2 linked regions of the Macaca mulatta genome follow. The protein of the gene in region 1 binds, or shares a complex with, the protein of each later gene. Links are inferred from orthologs where the notes say so. Each region holds a gene or a part of one and is shown in the gene's direction. Other genes may lie near its edges. The genes, in order: LTK and ALKAL1.

Evidence for each region.
Region 2: the proteins of LTK (region 1) and ALKAL1 are in contact, whole or in part, in a crystal structure (PDB 7NX0), measured with the Homo sapiens proteins. The link is inferred for Macaca mulatta from reciprocal best matches to the Homo sapiens genes LTK and ALKAL1. Residues at the interface, in NP_002335.2 of Homo sapiens: Tyr124, His140, Phe143, Ala250, Ser251, Pro252, Glu253, Leu359, Phe360, Leu361, Gln362, Leu364, Ala365, Val366, Glu368, Glu372, Glu374, Arg376; in NP_997296.1 of Homo sapiens: His93, Arg96, Leu97, Asn100, Thr101, Arg102, Glu103, Arg112, Arg115, Leu116, Arg119, Leu120, Ser123.

The regions. Positions count from the first base shown.
Region 1 is NC_133412.1:18,860,242-18,869,736, reverse strand, and holds the end of LTK (leukocyte tyrosine kinase receptor), read left to right. Parts: intron 1-706; coding exon 707-805; intron 806-1,932; coding exon 1,933-2,085; intron 2,086-2,496; coding exon 2,497-2,592; intron 2,593-2,840; coding exon 2,841-3,036; intron 3,037-4,143; coding exon 4,144-4,234; intron 4,235-4,370; coding exon 4,371-4,435; intron 4,436-4,617; coding exon 4,618-4,747; intron 4,748-4,840; coding exon 4,841-4,938; intron 4,939-5,080; coding exon 5,081-5,173; intron 5,174-5,271; coding exon 5,272-5,373; intron 5,374-5,500; coding exon 5,501-5,635; intron 5,636-5,708; coding exon 5,709-5,799; intron 5,800-5,895; coding exon 5,896-6,144; 3' UTR 6,145-6,502; downstream 6,503-9,495. Other genes in the region: ITPKA (inositol-trisphosphate 3-kinase A), read right to left, coding at 6,970-7,173, 7,276-7,347, 7,630-7,731, 7,949-8,153, 8,298-8,514, 8,590-8,686. UniProt on the Homo sapiens protein: Receptor with a tyrosine-protein kinase activity. Following activation by ALKAL1 or ALKAL2 ligands at the cell surface, transduces an extracellular signal into an intracellular response.
Region 2 is NC_133413.1:63,170,251-63,180,395, reverse strand, and holds the start of ALKAL1 (ALK and LTK ligand 1 precursor), read left to right. Parts: upstream 1-4,149; coding exon 4,150-4,339; intron 4,340-10,145. UniProt on the Homo sapiens protein: Cytokine that acts as a physiological ligand for receptor tyrosine kinase LTK, leading to its activation. Monomeric ALKAL1 binds to LTK, leading to LTK homodimerization and activation.

The DNA.
Region 1 (9,495 bases):
AGTCTTGGCTCACTGCAACCTCTGCCTCCTGGGTTCAAGCAATTCTCCTGCCTCAACCTCCTGAGTAGCTGGGATTACAGGCATGCACCATCATGCCCGGCTAATTTTTGTATTTTTAGTAGAGATGGGGTTTCACCATGTTGGTCAGGCTGGTCTTGGTCTCCTGACCTCATGATCCGCCCCTGTCAGCCTCCCAAAGTGCTGGGATTACAGGCGTGAGCCACTGCACCTGGCCCTGAATTTTTATTTTTCATTAAAAATTAATTTTTAAAAAGAAATGTGAATTCTCAGCCCTTCTGTAACATACTGAATCAGAAACTCTAGGGGATAGTCCCAGTCATCTGTGTTTTGATCAGTCCTCAAGTCTGGAAATGACTAGTGTAAATGCCTTTGTGCCTGTCCGGGCTGTTCTGTTCATACGTACGCACATCATCTATATTCCCACAGAAAGGGACTGTGAGGACATGGGACAGGAGGGGTTCAGGCAGGCAGGAGGCGTCAAGCGTCACAGCCAGCCTGAGCTAGGCCTTCAGTCTCCAGCTGATTACCCCTTCCTCACCTCCTTCACTCCCACTTGTGAACAGACAGCACTTGCATCATGATGCTGGAGAAGAGAAGGCCACACTGGGATTTCCACTGGGAGATTCCAGCTTCTCCCCCATCCCCCATTTTTGCAGTCAAACCCTCCATCACTCTCCACTTCCAGGGGGTGATGCTTCAGAGACTGACAACCTCTGGGCTGATGGGGAAGATGGAGTATCCTTCATACACCCCAGCAGCGAGCTCTATCTGCAGCCTCTGGCAGGTATTGGCCCCAACCCCACCTCTCAGCCTGGCCTGGACTTCTTCCTCAATCCCTGAACCCACTCCTGCACTGCACTGAAGAGCCATCTGCACCGTGAATAACCTTTCATAGCACAGGATTCTTGCATAGCACAGGGTCATTTGAAAAGTGGGCTGTCGGCCGGGCGCGGTGGCGCAAGCCTGTAATCCCAGCACTTTGGGAGGCCGAGACGGGCGGATCATGAGGTCAGGAGATCGAGACCATCCTGGCTAACACGGTGAAACCCCGTCTCTACTAAAAAATACAAAAAAAACTAGCCGGGCGAGGTGGCGGGCGCCTGTAGTCCCAGCTACTCAGGAGGCTGAGACAGGAGAATGGTGTGAACCCAGGAGGCGGAGCTTGCAGTGAGCTGAGATCCAGCCACTGCACTCCAGCCTGGGCGACAGAGCGAGACTCCATCTCAAAAAAAAAAAAAAAAGAAAAAAGAAAGAAAAGTGGGCTGTCATCGTGCCATTGCACTCCAGCCTGGGCGATAAGAGCAAAACTCTGTCTTAAAAAAAAGAAAAGTGGGCTGTCAGTTGTGCTGGATGCCAATGCAGGGCATGCTGCGTGCTTGTCAAGTACCCCCTTGCTATGAATTCACTTCAAATACCTGGGAGTGTGCAGGCTTGACAGAAGTCCCCCAGCTTCTCTCACCGCCCTTGTAAGCTTGGTGCTGCTCTTTGCTCTAAAGTCCTGGACAAGAATTAACCATGTGGCTGGAAAAGGCATGTATTTATTTATTTATTTATTTATTTTTATTTTTGAGACAGAGTCTTACTCTATCACCCAGGCTGAAGTGCAGTGGTGCGAGCTTGGGTCACTGCAACCTCCGCCTCCCAGGTTCAAGTGATTCTGCAGCCTCAATCTCTGGAGTAGCTGGGATTGCAGGCATGCGCCACCACACCCGGCTAATTTTTGTATTTTTAGCAGAGGCGGGGTTGGCCAGGCTGGTCTTGAACTCCTGACCTCTGGTGATTCGCCCACCTCGGCCTCCCAAAGTGCAGTGATTGTAGGCGTGTGCCACCATACCCAGCCAAAGGCATGTATTTAATATATCCCAGCCCCAGCCCCACCACACCATACCATATCAGTTCTTTTACTCACAGTCACCGAGAACCACGGAGAGGTAGAAATCCGAAGGCACCTCAACTGCAGTCACTGCCCTTTGAAAGACTGCCAATGGCAGGCAGAGCTCCAGTTGGCTGAGTGCCTGTGCCCAGAAGGCATGGAGCTAGCTGTGGATAACGTCACCTGCATGGGTATGTCCTACCTTTGCCCAAGGTCTGGACTCCTGGGGTCACAGACTGGGAGGAGCAGTAGGCCACTGGGAAAGATGGTATAGAGATTTGCTGCGTGCCAGGCCCTGTGGTGGGTGCTGGGCAGGGGACTGGAGATTCATGGGTGCACAGTGCCTTTCAGAGGCATGTCGTCCAGTGTGGGAGGCTGTTTAGATATAGCTATGTAAATGTATATCTCAAGTGACGATTGTTGTGGGAGGTATAAAGTGCCTTAGGGGTGTTCAAGAGGGAGAGGTTGCTTTTGCCCAGGATAATGGGGGAAGGCTTCATGGAAAAATTAACACTTGAGCTGAGTCTTGAAGCGTGGGTAAAACTTGAGGGTAGAGGAACAGAGAAGACCTTCCCACTGGAGGTGTCTCTCTTTCTCCCTAGACCTGCCCAACCCCCCAGGCCCTCTGGTTCTGATGGTGGCTGTGGTGGCAACCTCAACACTGAGCCTCTTTATGGTGTGTGGGGTCCTGATTCTGGGTACGAAGCATCTAGCAGGCACAGCTGATTCAAGGCTGCTCCTCTCCAATGAGCTGGGGTGGGCTTCACGACCACTCACCGCAGCAGAGCAGTGGTAGACTCCTGTGGGACTCTAAGATAGGAGGGAGCTGGGGAGGCCTGGGGAAAACGTTTACCAGAAGGAGCACCTGGAGGGGTGTCCTGGGCAGGTGGGGGAGGGAGACCTGATGGGCAGGCGGAGGGTGTGCCGTTATTCTCCCCACCCCCAGTGAAGCAGAAGAAGTGGCAGGGCCTGCGGGAGACGAGGCTGCCGAGCCCTGAGCTTGAGCTGAGCAAGCTTCGAACCTCTGCCATCAGGACGGCCCCCAATCCCTATTATTGCCAGGTGGGGCTTGGCCCGGCCCAGTCCTGGCCTCTGCCCCCAGGTGTCACCGAGGTTTCCCCAGCCAATGTTACTCTGCTCAGGTGAGTCTTCTGCCTCCTCCTGAGAACCTGTGCAGTCTGAATCCCCACCTCTGATTCTCTCCCTGCTGTAGTGAATTACAAATCCCAGAAACAATCTGGCCCACATCCCTTGCGTACGGGAGAGGGAGGCCGGGAGAAGCTCCAGAAGGGCCAGGAACTTGCTCAAAGTCACCTCTCCGTCCCAGTTCTTAGAATATGATCTCGCAGCTGGGCGTGGTGGCTCACGCCTATAATCCCAGCACTTTGGGAGGTCGAGGCGGGCAGGTCACGTGAGGTCGGGGGTTTGAGACCAGCCTGACCAACATGGAGAAACCCCATCTCTACTAAAAATACAAAATTATCTGGGCGGGGTGGTGCATGCCTATAATCCCAGCTACGTGGGAGGCTGAGGCAAGAGAGTCGCCTTAACCCGGGAGGCGGAGGTTGTGGTGAGCCGTGGTGAGCCGAGATCACACCATTGCACTCCAGCCAGGGTGACAGAGTGAGACTCTGTCTCAATAAAAAAAAATATGATCTCACGCCTGTAATCTCAGCACTTTGGGAGGCCAAGGCAGGCGGATCACCTGAGGTCATGAGTTCGAGATCAGCCTGGCCAACATAGTGAAACCCTGTCTCCACTAAAAACACAAAAATTAGCCAGGCGTGGTGGCACGTGCCTGTAATCCCAGCTACTCGGGAGGCTGAGGCAGGAGAATCACTTGAACCCGGGAGGCAGATGTTGTAGTGACCCAAAATTGCACCATTGCACTACAGCCTGGGTGACAGAGCGAGACTTTGTCTTAAAAAAAAAAAAAGAGAGAGAATATGACTCTTGGAGCCCAGGGATCGCCTCCCTCCCAGGGCATCTGCAGGGACACCAGGGAAGTCCTCATCATGCACTCTCACCTTGACTCTGACCCGCACCTGCCCTCTCTTTTGCCCTGGCTCTATGCCAGTCAGCATCACCCTTGCAGGGCTTCTACTTGGGGACATGCCATGGTATGGAGAGAGTCTGTATAGGGTCAGCTGGGCATATGGCAGGGGCAGGGGAGGTAAAGGGGATACTAGACTCTCTAGGGCTCTTCTCCAGGCTGCCTGCCCACTCCCTTCCAACCTGTCTTCCTGCAGAGCCCTGGGCCATGGTGCCTTTGGGGAGGTGTATGAGGGACTGGTAACTGGCCTTCCTGGGGACTCCAGTCCCCTGCAGGTGGCTATCAAGGTGAGAGGATTGGGACTTCTGGCTGGGGGTAGAAGAGTGGAACACCCTGAAGGGAAGGACAATGACTACAGCTAGGGTTAACCCCCCTCCCGTTGTGTCCAGGGCAACTCAGAAACTGTGCCCTTTTCCTCCCCAGACCCTGCCAGAACTCTGCTCTCCTCAGGATGAGCTGGATTTCCTCATGGAGGCACTCATCATCAGGTGCATGCGGGACCAGGGGCAGGGCTGGAAGGCGGGAAGGGAAGGCTCAGGAGCAGCTTCTCTTCACCCTGAGGCTGAGGTAGCAAGTCAGGGGACACAGAGGGCCTTTCCAGCTTTGTGGAGCCTAGAACATAGTTTCCATCTCCCTGCTGGTGACGGGGTATGTCCACCACCCCACTCAGCAAGTTTAGCCATCAGAACATTGTGCGGTGTGTGGGGCTCAGCCTCAGGGCCGCCCCTCGCCTCATTCTGCTGGAACTGATGTCTGGAGGGGACATGAAGAGTTTCCTGAGGCACAGTCGTCCACACCTGGTGAGACCCTTGTCTCAGCCCCCCAGGCCCCTCTAAAGACCCTGTCCATGTGTCTGAGACCTGCATGGACTGATGTCCCTCTGCCTGACCCAGGACCAGCCATCACCTCTGGTCATGCGGGATCTGCTGCAACTGGCCCAGGACATAGCCCAGGGCTGCCACTACCTGGAGGAAAATCACTTCATCCACAGGTTAGGAGCAGTCCTGGCTCAGGGGACCCCCATCCCCACTCCCTCCCCAAGGAACAGCCCTTCCACACAGCTTTTAAGGAAATAGATCAGGAAGAGCAAGAACTTCTGAATTCTGGCAGTGATTTTTTTGCCTACTCTGTAGGGATATTGCTGCGCGGAACTGCCTGCTGAGCTGCACTGGGCCCAGCCGTGTGGCCAAGATTGGGGACTTCGGGATGGCACGAGATATCTACCGGTGCGGAACTTGGGGAGGTGGGAAGGCTCTTGCTCCAAGGGGGTTTTGCCTGCACCTTGGTGGTAAACAACTCATCATTCACCTCCTCCCTCCTGTAGGGCCAGTTATTACCGCAGGGGGGACCGGGCCTTGCTCCCAGTCAAGTGGATGCCCCCAGAGGCCTTCCTGGAGGGCATCTTCACATCCAAGACAGATTCCTGGTGATAATACCCTTCCCCTTCTCCTCTGTTCCCCTCCCCTGAGGCTCATCCTGTCCTTTCCAGCCACCTCATGTGAGGGGAGGCTGCACCTGACGCGTCTCACTTGGTTCCCCCACTTGTGATGCAGGTCTTTTGGGGTGCTTCTCTGGGAGATCTTCTCACTGGGCTACATGCCCTATCCTGGGCGCACCAACCAGGAGGTGCTGGACTTCGTGGTTGCAGGGGGCCGGATGGACCCTCCTAGGGGCTGCCCCGGGCCTGTGTGAGTTGAGTGCTGCCTGGGAAGGGAGGTCCTTCACAGCCATGGGTGGGCATGAACTCTTGCCTCTCCCCAGGTACCGCATCATGACCCAGTGTTGGCAGCACGAGCCTGAGCTCCGCCCCAGCTTTGCCAGCATCTTGGAGCGTCTTCAGTACTGCACTCAGGTGTGCCCCTGACCTAATCTGACATCCTGGTCTTGTGGGTCAGGAGGCGGGGCCAGAAAACTCTATGCCCGGTGCTGCCCGAGTCTTCCATTACAGGACCCTGATGTGCTGAATTCACCCCTGCCAATGGAGCTGGGGCCCACCCCAGAGGAGGAAGGGGCTTCTGGGCTGGGGAACAGATCTTTGGCGTGCCTAAGACCCCCACAGCCCCAGGAACTGAGTCCAGGGAAGTTGAAAAGTTGGGGAGGTAGCCCTCTTGGCCCCTGGCTTTCCTCTGGCCTCAAGCCCCTCAAATCCAGGGGCCTCCAACCTCAGAACCTCTGGAATCCCACCTATCGCTCCTGAGCCCCAAGGAGCCCTGAGGGTGAGGACTGAGGCACTGAGGGTCCCTCCCTGTACTCCTCAGGCTCCTGGGTGGCCTGTTATGCCAGCGGCCCCTGTTCCCTGCAGTCTGTGCTCTGTATCTGGGCCTGTCTCGGAGCTGGCCTGGCAGCACTGCACTTGCCATGCCGGAAACCAGCCCAGGCCTCCCAGGGAAAGGCCCAGCCACTTCCAGCTTTTGATCTTTGGGCCAGAGGCCACCTTACACACACCCCAGGTGTCCATGGGGAGCACTGGATTGCCCTCCTACTATGAGCATCCTTCATCTGGGCAGAACCCCACCCTGCAGATGCTTCTAATAAAAAGCGCTTCTCATCTTCCAGCGATCTGAGTGGATGCCAGGGATACAGGAAGAGGGCACCAGAGGAGGGAGGGGCGGAGGGCTGAGGCACAGGAAGCTGCATCTTGTCTTTGAGTTTTATTAGGAAGGGGAGTCCAACCTAGTGTAAGAGGTTAGACCAGAAGGTCTAGGCTTGCTAAATAAAATCCACGGTCTGGCCCCTCTGGAGAGAGCAGAGCCTCCTCAGAAAAGCTGGCCTGAGGAAGAAGCCCTTTGCCCCCTCCCCTCCTATAAGTTAGTGTCATTTGGCTCTGGGAACGCTGGGGCCCGGGGTGGGCGAAACCCCTGGCATTGGCAGTGCCCCCCCTTAGTGGTTGGCACCTGGCCCTGCCGGACCCGGTGAACTGCCCTGCACCGCGGGGCTCCAGTCTCAAGCCGGCATGCACGGTGGGGACAAAGCTGCAGGTCCACATGTCAGGGCGGCGGCCCACGGGGACAGGAGTCCAGCCTCATCTCTCAGCCAGGCTGGCCAGGATGCCAATGAGATTGTCCAGCCCCAGCAAATAGCCGTCCTCGCGATTGCCCTCCTCCCAGGGCCGCCGGTGGTCCAGGATCTGGCCATCGGGGAGGGGCGTGGTCTTGCCGAAGTCGATGAGCCACACGCCGGCGCGATGGCAGTGATCGTGCACAAAGAGGAGCGAGCTGCCGATCACCTGCGAGCCCCGCATGGTCAGGCCGCGGCCCTGCCCAGAGACGCCCCCGCCGGGTTCCCGCCCTAGCCCTCGCGGCCAGGCACCCAGGCGGCCACGGCTTACCTCGTGCCTCCTGAAGAACTCAGAGACCTCCAGGGTGTCCCGGATCTGCTGCAGGCGGTTCAGATACCGCCTCTGCAGAGGGTGGGTGGGAGAGGAGGGCAAGTTAATTAAACGCCAAGTGAGCCCCTGCTAACGATAAGGAGCCGGGACCCAGGCTGGGCTTGGCAAATGCCGCTGTGAGGAAGACCCAGGACGCCGCCCGGCGTGGCCCAGAAGGGAAGGAGCCTAGAGCAGTTGCGACCCAGTGTGGTGAAGGCCACGGTGGGGACACAGCTGAGGGCACTGGGCCAGATGACAGGGGCAGTCCCTAGTTTCAGGCTCCCTAACACCTCAGGGTTGAGATCCCGCTCTCACCAGCACTTCCTCGTCTCCTTGCACAAACTCTTCAAAGACGCGAAGCACCTGCTCCCGGCTTCGCGTAGTCTTGAAGTCGGTGCTGCAGGAACCGTCCGCTTTCTGGAGGTGGGACAGGAGTGTCAGGGGCCCCAGGCCCGCCAGTGGGGAAGAGGACAGCCTAGGGCAGTGGTACCTCCCAGTTGCAGGGGACTGCGAGGCGGTGGGAGAGGGCGGAGGGGCAGGCAGGGCGGGAGCGGAGGAGGTGGGCACCGACAGATCGGGAAAGACAGGGCGCAGTGGGGCTGGGGCGGTGCCAGTCGAAGCGCGCCTGCCCCACCTTGATGCCCTCGATGCGGAAGCCGAGCGTGGTGCTGGAGCTGATGCCTTCCCGCCACTGCATGTAGCGTGGCTTGGTGACTGCGCGCTGCGCGTGCTCCTCCTCAGTGGGCGCTTCAGGGTCCACCGCCAGCATCTTCTTGTACATGTCCTTCCGTAGCTTGGGCCGCTCACGGGCCTTGGTCAGCTCCTCCTCTAGGTAAGTCCTATGCGGGCGCGGGCAGCGGCCAGGGCATAAGGGGGCGCACACGGAGACCCCTTCGAGCTCTCGCCCCGGGACCCCCTCAAGCAGTTGTCCCAGCCCCGGACCCCCACTTGATCCCCCAACCAACCTGGCAGGGCACGCATACCTGACGCCCATTTTGCAGTCGAGCACACAGGGCCCGTCGAAGCCATCTAGTAGGTCCTGCAGCTGCAGGTAGCTTTCGCCGTCATGCTCCACCACGCCGTGGAAGGCAGGCACGCAGCCGCGCAGCGCGTCAGCCATCAGCCTCGCCAGGCAGTAGCGCTCCGGCTCCGAGCAGCGCTTCAGGATCAGCCCGCTGGTGCCCGCCGCCTTAAAACTCCCTGTGGACCTGCATCCGTCAGCGCCGCTCAGCCCCTTCCCGTCGCGGGCACCTGCCCACCCGCCCCGCGGCTCACCTGTGTGCCCTGCCAGCTGCACCCAGGCGTAGCGCTTCTTGAAAGGGCTTATGACCGGCAGATTGACCATGGTTCGGATCTTCTGCCAGTGGCTTTTCTGAAAGCGACAGGGTCAAAGTCTGCAAATCGGTGTCTCAGCAATGCATAGCCCTCCCCCCACTGAAACAGGGTCTCACCACGCCCCCGACCCACCGGAAGCAGCTGGGGCTGGATGAGTCATTCATTCATTCATTCACTCTGGGAAGGTTTATTGTGCGCCTGTGTGGCGGGCGCTGATACAGGCGCAGTGAAGGTGATTCCAGCGTCTCCAATGAGCTGTCAAGAGCCTGGACTTAGCATCTGAAGCCCCCGGTTTGCGCTCCAGCTCTGCCACTGAAGAACGCGTGGGCAAGTTACGAAAATGCTCTGTCGAGGTGTTTGAACTGTTGTGAGCATCGGAATTACCTGATGGTCACCCTTGTTAAAAATTGCAGATTATCAGGCCTACCGCAGGGAAATTCTAAGTAGGTCTAGAGTAGGGCCAATTTTTTTTTTTTTTTTTCCAGATGGAGTCTTGCTCTGTCGCCTAGGCTGGAGTGCAGTGGTGCGATCTCGCCTCACTGCAACCTCTACCTCCAGGGTTCAAGCGGTTCTCTTGTTTCAGCCTCCCGAGTAGCTGAGACTACAGGTGCACACCACCACGCCCAACTAATTTTTTTGTATTTTTAGTAGAGACAGGGTTTCACCACATTGGTCTGGCTGGTCTCCAACTCCTGACCTCAGGTGATCCACCCACTTCGGCCTCTTCAAAGTGCTGGGATTACAGGTATGAGCTACCACACCCAGCCCCCAAATTTTTATTACTACCAATGCCTCAAAAGATTCCAGGACCCAAGAAACAAGCCTCTGTGCATCTGTAAGAAAAGG
Region 2 (10,145 bases), on another chromosome or scaffold:
TATGCAGTGAATCTTTTCCCCATCCTTCCTCAAGGAGACCTCCAGCCTTTCACCAGGGTAACTGTGCATTGGGAAAGGGAAATGATCAGACATTTTGGGGGCTACTGGACCCTGGCTCTGAGCTGATGTTGATTCCAGGGGACCCAAAATGTCATTATGGTCCTCCAGTTAAAGTAGGGGCTTATGGAGGTCAGGTAATTAAAGGAACTCTAGCTCAGGTCCAACTTACACTAGGTTCCAGTGGGTCCCCAGACTCATCCTGTGGTCATTTCCCCAGTGCCAGAATGCAAAATTGGCATAGACATACTTAGCAGCTGGCAGAACCCCCATATTGGCTCCCTGACTGGTAGGCTGAGGGCTTTCATGGTGGGAAAGGCCAAATGGAAGCCATTAGAGCTGCTTCTACCTAGAAAAATAGTAAATCAAAAACAATATTGCATACCTGGAGGAATTGAGGAGATTAGTGCCACTATCAAGGACTTGAAAGATGCAGGGGAGGTGATTTGGATTCCCCCAACATTCCCATTAAACTCTCCTGTTTGGCCTGTGCAGAAGACAGATGGATCTTGGAGAATGACAGTGGATTATCATAAGCTTAACCAAGTGGTGACTCCAATTGCAGCTGCAGTACCAGATGTAGTTTCATTGCTTGAGCAAATTACCACATCTCCTAGCATCCAGTATGCAGACATTGACTTGGCAAATGCCATTTTCTCCATTCCCATCCATAAGGCCCACCAGAAGCAATTTTCCTTCATCTGGCAAGGCCAGCAATATACCTTTACTGTCCTACCTCAGGGGTATATCGACTCTCTGGGTTTGTGTCATAATCTTATTCTTGTGATGGTTAATACTGAGTGTCAACTTGATTGGATTGAAGTATATAAAACATTGATCTTGGGTGTGTCTATGAGGGTGTTGCCAAAAGAGATTAACATTTGAGTCAGTGGGCTGGGGAAGGCAGACCCACCCTTAATCTAGTGGGAGCCATCTAATCAGCTGCCAGCGAATATGAAGCAGGCAGAAAAATGTGAACAGGTGAGACTGGCCTAGCCTCCTAGCCTACATCTTTCTCCCATACTGGATGCTTCCTGCCCTCGGACATCGGATTCCAAAGTTCTTCAGTTCTGAGACTTGGACTGGGTCTCCTTGTTGCTCAAACTTGCAGACAGCCTGTTGTGGGATCTTGTGATTGTGTAAGTTAATACTTAATAAACTCCTATATATATGTGTAGGAGTTTATTAAGTTTATATATATATATATATATATCCTGTTAGTTCTGTCTAGAGAACCTCAAGTTTATATTATCAATATTACCAATATTTTGGGGGAGATGTAGCAATGGATTTTTTCAATACTTGTGACTTTTCTGTTTTTAAAAATGTTTAAGAAAATCAATTATATTAAATATGTGATTGTATTTTGAAATGTTTAATAGGGTTTGTTGGTGTTAAATAAAGAAACTTCACTTGTTTAATTTATTAGCTAAGTTGTAAAGAAAATAAGTGCCTTGAGTTTCAAGGCTTAAAATAGCTTGTAACAGTTACAGTTTAAAAAACTTTGGATTACTTTAAACGTTAGTTACTAAGTACCCGTTTCTACACGGATAACCCCTCCTTATACACTAAATAATAAATTAGCAAGTGTTACTGAGGGCATGTCGACATGAACACTTCAAGTTGCCTCTAAACAAATTAGCAAGAGGCAGGGCAAGCAGCATTTAGTTGGGGCAGTTAGAAAAGTAGTCAAAGATACGCAATGAACAAAGAACAAAAGCAAAGAGTGACTTAGCTATAGGCAACCTGTTTATTTACAATAAAAGCATTGTGTTGGCAAACTAGATCCCTGAAGCTAGATGCTCCACAAAGATGAGGATTTCGTGTATTTTACCCATTGTGGTGGCTCCGCTGTGTTTTCACTGCCTGCTCCACAGTGTGCATTCACATCATTTTTGTTGAACGAATAAAGGTGGGTTTCAAAGGACCACTTGCTTCAGAACTACCCAGAGTCCCTTAAAATGCGGATTTACGGGATTCTTCTGGGTGCAGATTTACGGGATTCTTCTGGGGGACTGCATCCCGAGGGGTGTGGGAACCTGCATTTTTTTTACAGCCTCTCTTTCACATGATATACAGTCTGAGAACCACTGAAGTTCAACCTCCTAACCTTGCTAGAGAGAAGACTAAATGGTTTGCTCAGGGTCCTATGGCTAATGACGCTGAAAGTAGACCCCAAGCTGTCAGTCTCGAAAACTTCATTGCTTTGTTTATTTCCTCTAGCTTTCAACGTATAGGAAGAGGGAAATAATTCAGCTTTCAGGTTTTGCTGTCATTTGCTCCTGATAGATGGTTGATTAAAAAATCCATTTGTCATGGTTTCAGTATCACTTCTTCTCCAGCATTATTTCATACTGCATTTCCCCATCGTTTTCCAGACTAGTCCCTATTTTTTTATTTTCCAATAAAATTATTTTTGAACTGCCTGTCAATGTCTGTGAACTTCTAATGTTTTCTTATTTCGCTTAAGTAGAGCTGTGAGAAAGCGTTTATTCCACCTAAGTAGGGCCTTCAGACTCTTAACCTGTTTTTCTAGGAAGACTCTTCTGGGTCTTCGGTGGTGGAAGCCATTCTGTTACACCGCTGTGTTTGCTTAGGAAATACCATATTCCTATGCAAGCTTGACAGTGAAACGATTGGAAGAAGCAGTCTTCACCCGTGTAACAGCTTCCTCAAAAGAGCATCATCCAAAGGCACGATTTCACAGCGCTCCTGCAAAGCTTGCTTTGTTTCCCCAATTTCTAGGGCATGTCGGACATGCCAAACCTAGATAAACGATTTGAAGGAGTTGAGGTCATTTTTCAGGATCTGTGACCGACAAGATTTTTTTTTTTTTTTTGTAGAGTAATGTAACATTGGTCAATGTCTAAGGAGTAATGGAGCCTCAGTTTCCTTAGTTATTCCTGTTCTCTTCCGTTCACCTGTTTGCACTTTGCATATGAGGAGATAATTAGTAGTCAGTTGATTAGAGAGCAATTTCAACATTTTTCAATATGCTTAATATAAAGCAATAAAGCAGGCGGCTGAAATAACTAAAACAACAGCAGTTTACAGAGCGCGGTTTGATCAGAGATGCTCACTTTATTTTAATCAGGACGACTGGTCTTAATTTCATTTTTTAAGTTGTTAACACTAAAACTCTTTAGAAGAGTTCCCTAATTTGAAGAAAAATTCAGCCGGCTGCTTTCTTGGGCGCACTGGTCAACCCTGGCGATTTCACTTGGGGAAGAACTGAAACCAGCCACTCCATGCAGGATGGCCAGGGAAGCTGGGCGTGTGTCCCCGGTGCCCAGCCCTAGACCTCCTCCGCCCTCTTCTCCCCCACGCGGAAGAGAACGCGGTGCTGCGCCCAGGAGGGCAGGTCTGGCCTCCAGAGCTGGGGCAGGGGCGGCTGGCGTGACGGAGTGGCCATGGTTCCTGAGCGAGCAGGGAGGGGCTCGGCAGGTGAGCGCACCCGGCACCTTTGCGTCCAAGGCGCGGCGATCTCCGCTCATCCAGGCCGCATCTCGGCGCTGCTTTTTTCCGTCCCGACCTAGGCACCGCGGGTTCTACTGACCCCAGCCAACTAGGGGAATCCGTGACGGGCGCCGAGGCTTGCGGAGTGGGGGTGGCGGGAGACAGAGCCCAGGGAGAACCGCCGGGGCGACGCGGCGGGTACCTTTCTGGGTCCTCCCAGGGATGCCGACCAGAGAGCGAGCTTAGGGTCCGGGTCCAAGGCAGGCGTTGCGTAGGGAGCCCTGAGAACCCCTGAGTCCGAGATTGGTGTCCGTCAGGGCAGGCTGCACGGACTTCCGAGGGTCCCGCGCGCTGGGACACGCCCTCATCCTGGGGGACGACCGGGTGGCCCCAGGCACCGCCTCCCGTTCCCGCCCCGCGCCCCGCAGCGCTTAGGCTTCGGCACTCTGGGGGCCGAGTCCCAGTGCAGCTCCAGCCGACCCCCGGGACGCAGACAAGGGCAGGCGCGCGGTGAGGACTGCGGCCGGCCGCGTAGCCGCGCTCTGGTCCAGGGGGCCATCTCTTGGGCTGCGCACCCTCCGGAACTGCGTCAGGATCCTCCACGAGCCTCCCACTCTCTTCTGCCCGCTTGCGAACATGTGGCCCTTCAAGCCTGGTGCCCCGCTGCCCGCACTCCTCCTGCTGGCGCTGGCTTTGTCCCCGCCCGGAGCCCACGGGAGGCCGCGGGGGCGCAGGGGAGCGCACGTCACGAATGAGGAGCCCAAGCCGTTACTTTTCCTCCCCGCGGCCGGGGCCGGCCGGACTCCCAGCGGCTCCCGGAGCGCAGGTAGGATGTCCCCGTCCCGCCCCATCCTTTGCCCTGCACCTGGGGCTCCGTGGATTCCCCTAGGAGCTGGGTGAGGCACTCGCTTTGGGAAGCTTGAGATTAGTACAGCAGAGAACAGAGCATCTCTGCAGATTCCCAGCTCTCAGAAAGAGGTCGTAAGCGTATTAGATTTACCACGGTTGAGAGTTAAGTAAAGAAATCCGGCTGGCAATGGGACCAGCCTTCTATGTCCCCTCCCAGGTGTGGGAGGCCTTTTTGGAAATAAACTGGTAAAGCAGCCCAAAGACATGGGTTTCAGTCCCACCGGCCTAGGCGTGGTGGACAGGTTAGGTCCCTGTCAGCGCCTCATTTCTGGGTTTTCCGGGGTTTTGAGAATTAACTAAGATTGCTGTTCGTAGACACCTGACGGTGCCAGGAATGCCCAGTTCCCTTCCCCTTCACGCTGGCCGCAGCGAGTGGCTGAGGATGCGCCAGTTTCAGCAGGCGGCAGCTTATGTTACTGGAACCTTTCCTAGATCATTTTAGAAGGGCCCAAGACGCAGCCGGCTGCTCCCAAATCAACTTTGGACAAGTCGGGTTCCTGCTACTTAGGTGCCCAAGGGGAGTGGAAGGAATGAGAGAGGAAAAAGTTACGCTCTAGAGGGTCATGAGACACCCACGGGCAGAGAAGAGCTCTTGTGAATGCAGGGAAAACGGAAAAGGCCTTGGAAAAGGAGGTCCGAGGGGGCGGCTGGGCATTTGGGCAGCGCTGAAGGGAGGAGGGCAGGACACGCAGGGAAGGAAGATGGGGACAGAAGCGAGAAGCTCCTGACACGTTTCTGTTCACACCCAGCAACAGTAAAGCAAGGTGAAGCTGCCGGCGAGACTGGGACAGAAGGGCCCCTCTGCAGGGACATTTGGTGGCCTCCATCAGGCTTGAGAAGAGGAGAGGGCCTAGGGTGGCCTGGGGATGCCCCGCAGCCAGTGGCTGGCCATGGGAGCACAGCTCCTGATCCCTTCTCCTCAGGCTTCATGGCTAAGAAAGCAAACAACGGCTTCTTAGTATCATTTTTTTCCACAGTAGTTATGATATAAATATATACTTATTCACTCCACAAACTTTCTTCGAGTTCCTGTCTGTCACCATGCAGAGGGCGGAGGCCACCCAGAGGAGCAGACAGCAGTGTCTGTGCTCTCCTGCACACTTGGGTGTGGAGGGAGGGGCTGGTGCACACCTGCACTGAGTGAGCAGGGTGTCCTGCCCCGGGGAGGGGATGGAGAAGGTGGGAAGCTGAGGTGGGCTGCCCAGCTGGTGTGTGGACAACCCCGGCAGAGCCTCTCAGTCCAGCCGGCCACTGGGGAGCCCTCAGGAGGGGGAAGGCACAGGGTCAGTGTCCGCAGCACGGCCATGCAACAATGGTGCACACGGATCATGCACTTCGACTTAAAATTATTGTTAGCCTGAAATATTTATCTCAGAGAATAAAATGTGACTTTGGAATGTGAAAGATCTGGGAGAAAGGCTCTCAAAGTACAGAAAGGTCGAGGGCACACATTCATTCAGACCTGTTTCATTCAACAGATCTTTTCTCTTTGATTCAGACAGTGAAGACTTACCGAAGTGAGTTACAAGGGATAAAACAATATTTTATTTATTTATTTATTTATTTATTTATTTATTTATTTATTTTGAGATGGAGTTTCGCTCTTGTCACCCAGGCTGGAGTGCAGTGGTGTGATCTGGGCTCACTGCAACCTCTGCCTCCCAGGTTCAAACCATTCTCCTGCCTCAGCCTCCCAAGTATTACAGGTGCACCACCACGCCCGGCTAATTTTTATTTTTCTTTTTTTGTAGTTTTAGTAGAGAAGGGATTTCACGATGTTGCGCTAGGCTGGTCTCAAACTCCTGACCTCAGGTGATCTGCCCACCTCGGTCTCCCAAAGTGCTGGAATTACAGGCGTGAGCCACTGTGCCTGGCCAAAAATATTTTATTAAAAGTTAAAAGTGGGCCGGGCGCGGTGGCTCAAGCCTGTAATCCCAGCACTTTGGGAGGCCGAGACGGGCGGATCACAAGGTCAGGAGATCGAGACCATCCTGGCTAACCCGGTGAAACCCCGTCTCTACTAAAAAATACAAAAAACTAGCCGGGCGAGGTGGCGGGCGCCTGTAGTCCCAGCTACTGGGGAGGCTGAGGCAGGAGAATGGCGTGAACCCGGGAGGCGGAGCTTGCAGTGAGCTGAGATCCGGTCACTGCACTCCAGCCTGGGCGACAGAGTGAGACTCCGTCTCAAAAAAAAAAAAAAAAAAAAAAAAAAAAAAAAAAAAGTTAAAAGTGGCAACCATCTGAAGTTTTAAACAACAATATAGTCAGACGGAAAGTGCCCTGTGGGCACCCTCAAAGACATTGCTTTCTGTGACTGTAGTTGTGTAAGTTTTTGATTGCTACACTACATTCACAAGGGGAGAAAAGGGTGGCTCATAACATCTGTATCTGAGTCTGTGAATGGAGTACTTGCACATGGATCAGGGACAAACAAGGACATGAGAATATAGAGGGCAAGGGCCTATCTGGATGTTCTCAAGGGGCGCACTCAGCAGGTGGCAGGGGTTATCGTTCATTCAGGAGGAAAATGTCTCGCAGGTCCGGGAGGTCAAGGACTCTCATCCCTGTCAGATGTGCCTGGAATGATGGCTCCATATTTCTGTAGTGACATAATAAGCACCATCGCCCAGACCTAATGTACCTGTTCTAGGTTCAGAAATCTTTGCTGCTCCTGCAGTTGCGCTGTCTGCCTTTTTCTGTAGGCCTGGCAACTTCCCTAAATGCAGATGTGAGCTGGAGGTGGGGGGATCATTTCCAGGGAGAGGGAGTAGTAACTAGGAAACCTTGAGGCAGGAGGGGCCAGACAGCATGCTATGAGGATTGTGGAGAGTGGGGGACTGGAGGAGATGTGTTAGGTTCCCAGGAACACTCCTGATTCACCGTCCTTGGTCCTCCTTCCTTCTCACAGCCCACTTGTTCATGCATGTATCCGTCCCGTCATTTAGCCATTTAACACACAGCTGTGGTCGCTGTGATGAGCAACATTGTTGACAATTGTGCTTGAGGAGCACAATTCAGTTCGTAATTCCTGCCTCCGATGTCTCTCGAATCTGGGTCTTCCTTTTTAGTGTCCTTCCCACCACTCTAGTTCAGACCCTCTTGAGAGCTTTATGGTGACCTTCTACATCATCTCCAATTCTATTAGTGCCCCTGACAGTGTGTCCTGTTGGGATAAGAATTCCCAGTAACCTTCACTCCTGCTCTCTCATTCCTGTTTCCCTCCTCCCTTTGTCTTTGGTCCCTGCGCCACCAGCAGAATGGCACAAACAAGGGACCAAACCTCAAACTCTGCCAAAGGAAAGAAACATCAGAACACTCATCCACTGAAAGAAAAACAGAGTCAGAAGGCTGAGAACAGGGCCGTGGTGGGAGTAGAGAGGAGGTTCAGAGTTTTTGACAGAAAGGAAATTGGCTTGAGGTGTGAGAGGTAGCAGTGTAAGGGGACTGTTAGCAAGTATTGATGTATGTGACGTTTCCTTTGCTACCGCTGCCTTTTCAAGGTATTTCATGTTTACCTTATTTCTACAGGCTTTCTGGGGTCAGATTTGTGTTGTTGTGGTTGCTGTTGCTGTTTTAATATAAAACCTCGCTGATGTGGAGCTTAAGGAGAGCATGTGAAGGAGTTTTGATGAGGTTATGCTGGACAATGACAAATGAATGTGCTTAATAAGTAGCATGGGGCTGGTCTCTTTCCAGTCATAAATCTGCTGTGAGTTCTCTTGATTTTCCAAGAAGGTCCTGGCTTCCTTGGAAAGAAAGGCAGATATATACATTATATATATATATATAGTAGAGACAGGGTTTTGCCATGTTGGCCAGGCTTGTCTTGAACTCCTGACCTCAAGTGATCCACCTGCCTCGGCCTCCCAAAGTGCTGGGATTACAGGAGTGAGCCACTGCATCAGGCCCCATTATGAACATTTTATACTTCTTCTTCTTCTTTTTTTTTTTTTTGAGACAGTCTCACTCTGGTTGCCCAGGCTGGAGTGAAATGGTTCGATCTCAGCTCACTACAGCCTCAACCTCCCAACTTAGCCTCACAAGTAGCTGGGACTACAGGCACATGCCACCACACCCAGTAATTTTTTGTGTGTTTTTAGTAGAGATGGGTTTTGCTACATTGCACAGGCTGGTCTCAAACTCCTGACCTCAAATGATCTGCAGTCCTTGGCCTTCCAGAGTGCTAGAATTACAGGCGTGAGCTACCACCACGGCCAACATTTTATACTTCTGTTAATATTTTACAATCTGAATATATGAGTCTTCAACTTTGCTTAACTTCTACAGAATCTGTAATTACTACTCATCTTATGTATGTGTCTACTCACACTTGGTAGGCTCTGTTTTCTCTGTAAACATAAGGCAAATTATATAAGCCAACTGTTAAAAAAAGTCTTATCTTTATTATGCAATGATTACATGTGAGAAAACCGGAAAACAAAAACGCCAAAAAATTGAAACCCCAAAAGGTGATTATTTCTGGCTGATAGATTTGTAAAAAGTTTATCGACAGTATCAGATTGGCTATTGATCATTTCCATGAGACAGAAAGCACTGGTTCCAGGCTTGCTGTGGAATTGGGAAGGAGTGGATCTCTGAGTTCCAGGTGCCTTGTCTGCGCCACAGGGAAGACCCCATCATGAGGCTTCTCGTGAAGATGTAACAACAGGGGAGATATGTGGAGCACCTGACCAGGCTCCTGGCCTAGGAGCTGCAGGCAGGCAGCTTCTTACTCTCTCCAAGCACCACCCGGGCGTCAGCCATGGTGAACCTGAAAAGACGGATATCATCATGACTGCTTCAGAGCTTGGTTATATTTGTTTATAGGAGATTTTCTATCGCCAGCAGATATGCCTGATGCTAAGAAAGGAAAAACAACAAGTTACACATTGAGTTTGGAATACTGTTTGTGTAACTTTTTCTTATAACTATCTTTTGTGATTTCTAACAGATTTGAAAATAAAGTCTCTAATAGATTTAAAAACAAAGTAGGGCAGGGGTCATACTCTGAACTTTAAGTCAAAAGAATAAAAATTAATTACTACTTTAAATAATTTCTCATTACTACTGTATTAATTGATGAAATGTTAAAATAGCCACACCTTAAAGAATTCTTTATAGATATAGCAAAAATAAAAGATACTTCACAAGAAAGAAAGGAAATGTAACACATAGGTTAGGTTATGTGGACAATGAGCAATAAACCTGCTTATCTCGTTTGTTGATGAATTAAATTTTGGTTCAGTTGTATTACTGTATCATTCCTGTTGAGAGTTTTATCCATCCAGTCTTCTAAACCCACATATATTCCATTCTTAAGAAAAATATTTCTTATAAATGCTTTTTCTGTTTTACTGTCTAATCCAATATTTTACATTACTTTGGTAAAATCTTTAACATATGGTAATCAGGTAGTAATTACACATTTCAAAAACATTCATAATAAGGTATTTTGAAATATACTGCAAAACTCTTGCTGCATAAAGAATTTCATTGCCTCATCTAGGAAACAACACGCTATATTTAGAAAAAGTTAGTTTAAAATTGTTATGGAAGATTAGGAGGAGAGATAAAAGCTTTCTTGTAGCCAATTTTTGCATCATTTCCAGCGTATATAAAGTATATATGACTAGATCACCATTCCATGCAGGATCGACCACCATGCTTGTTTTAAAATATACCTGGGAATTGTTTTAATCAGAGATAGTGAGACACAGACGCCT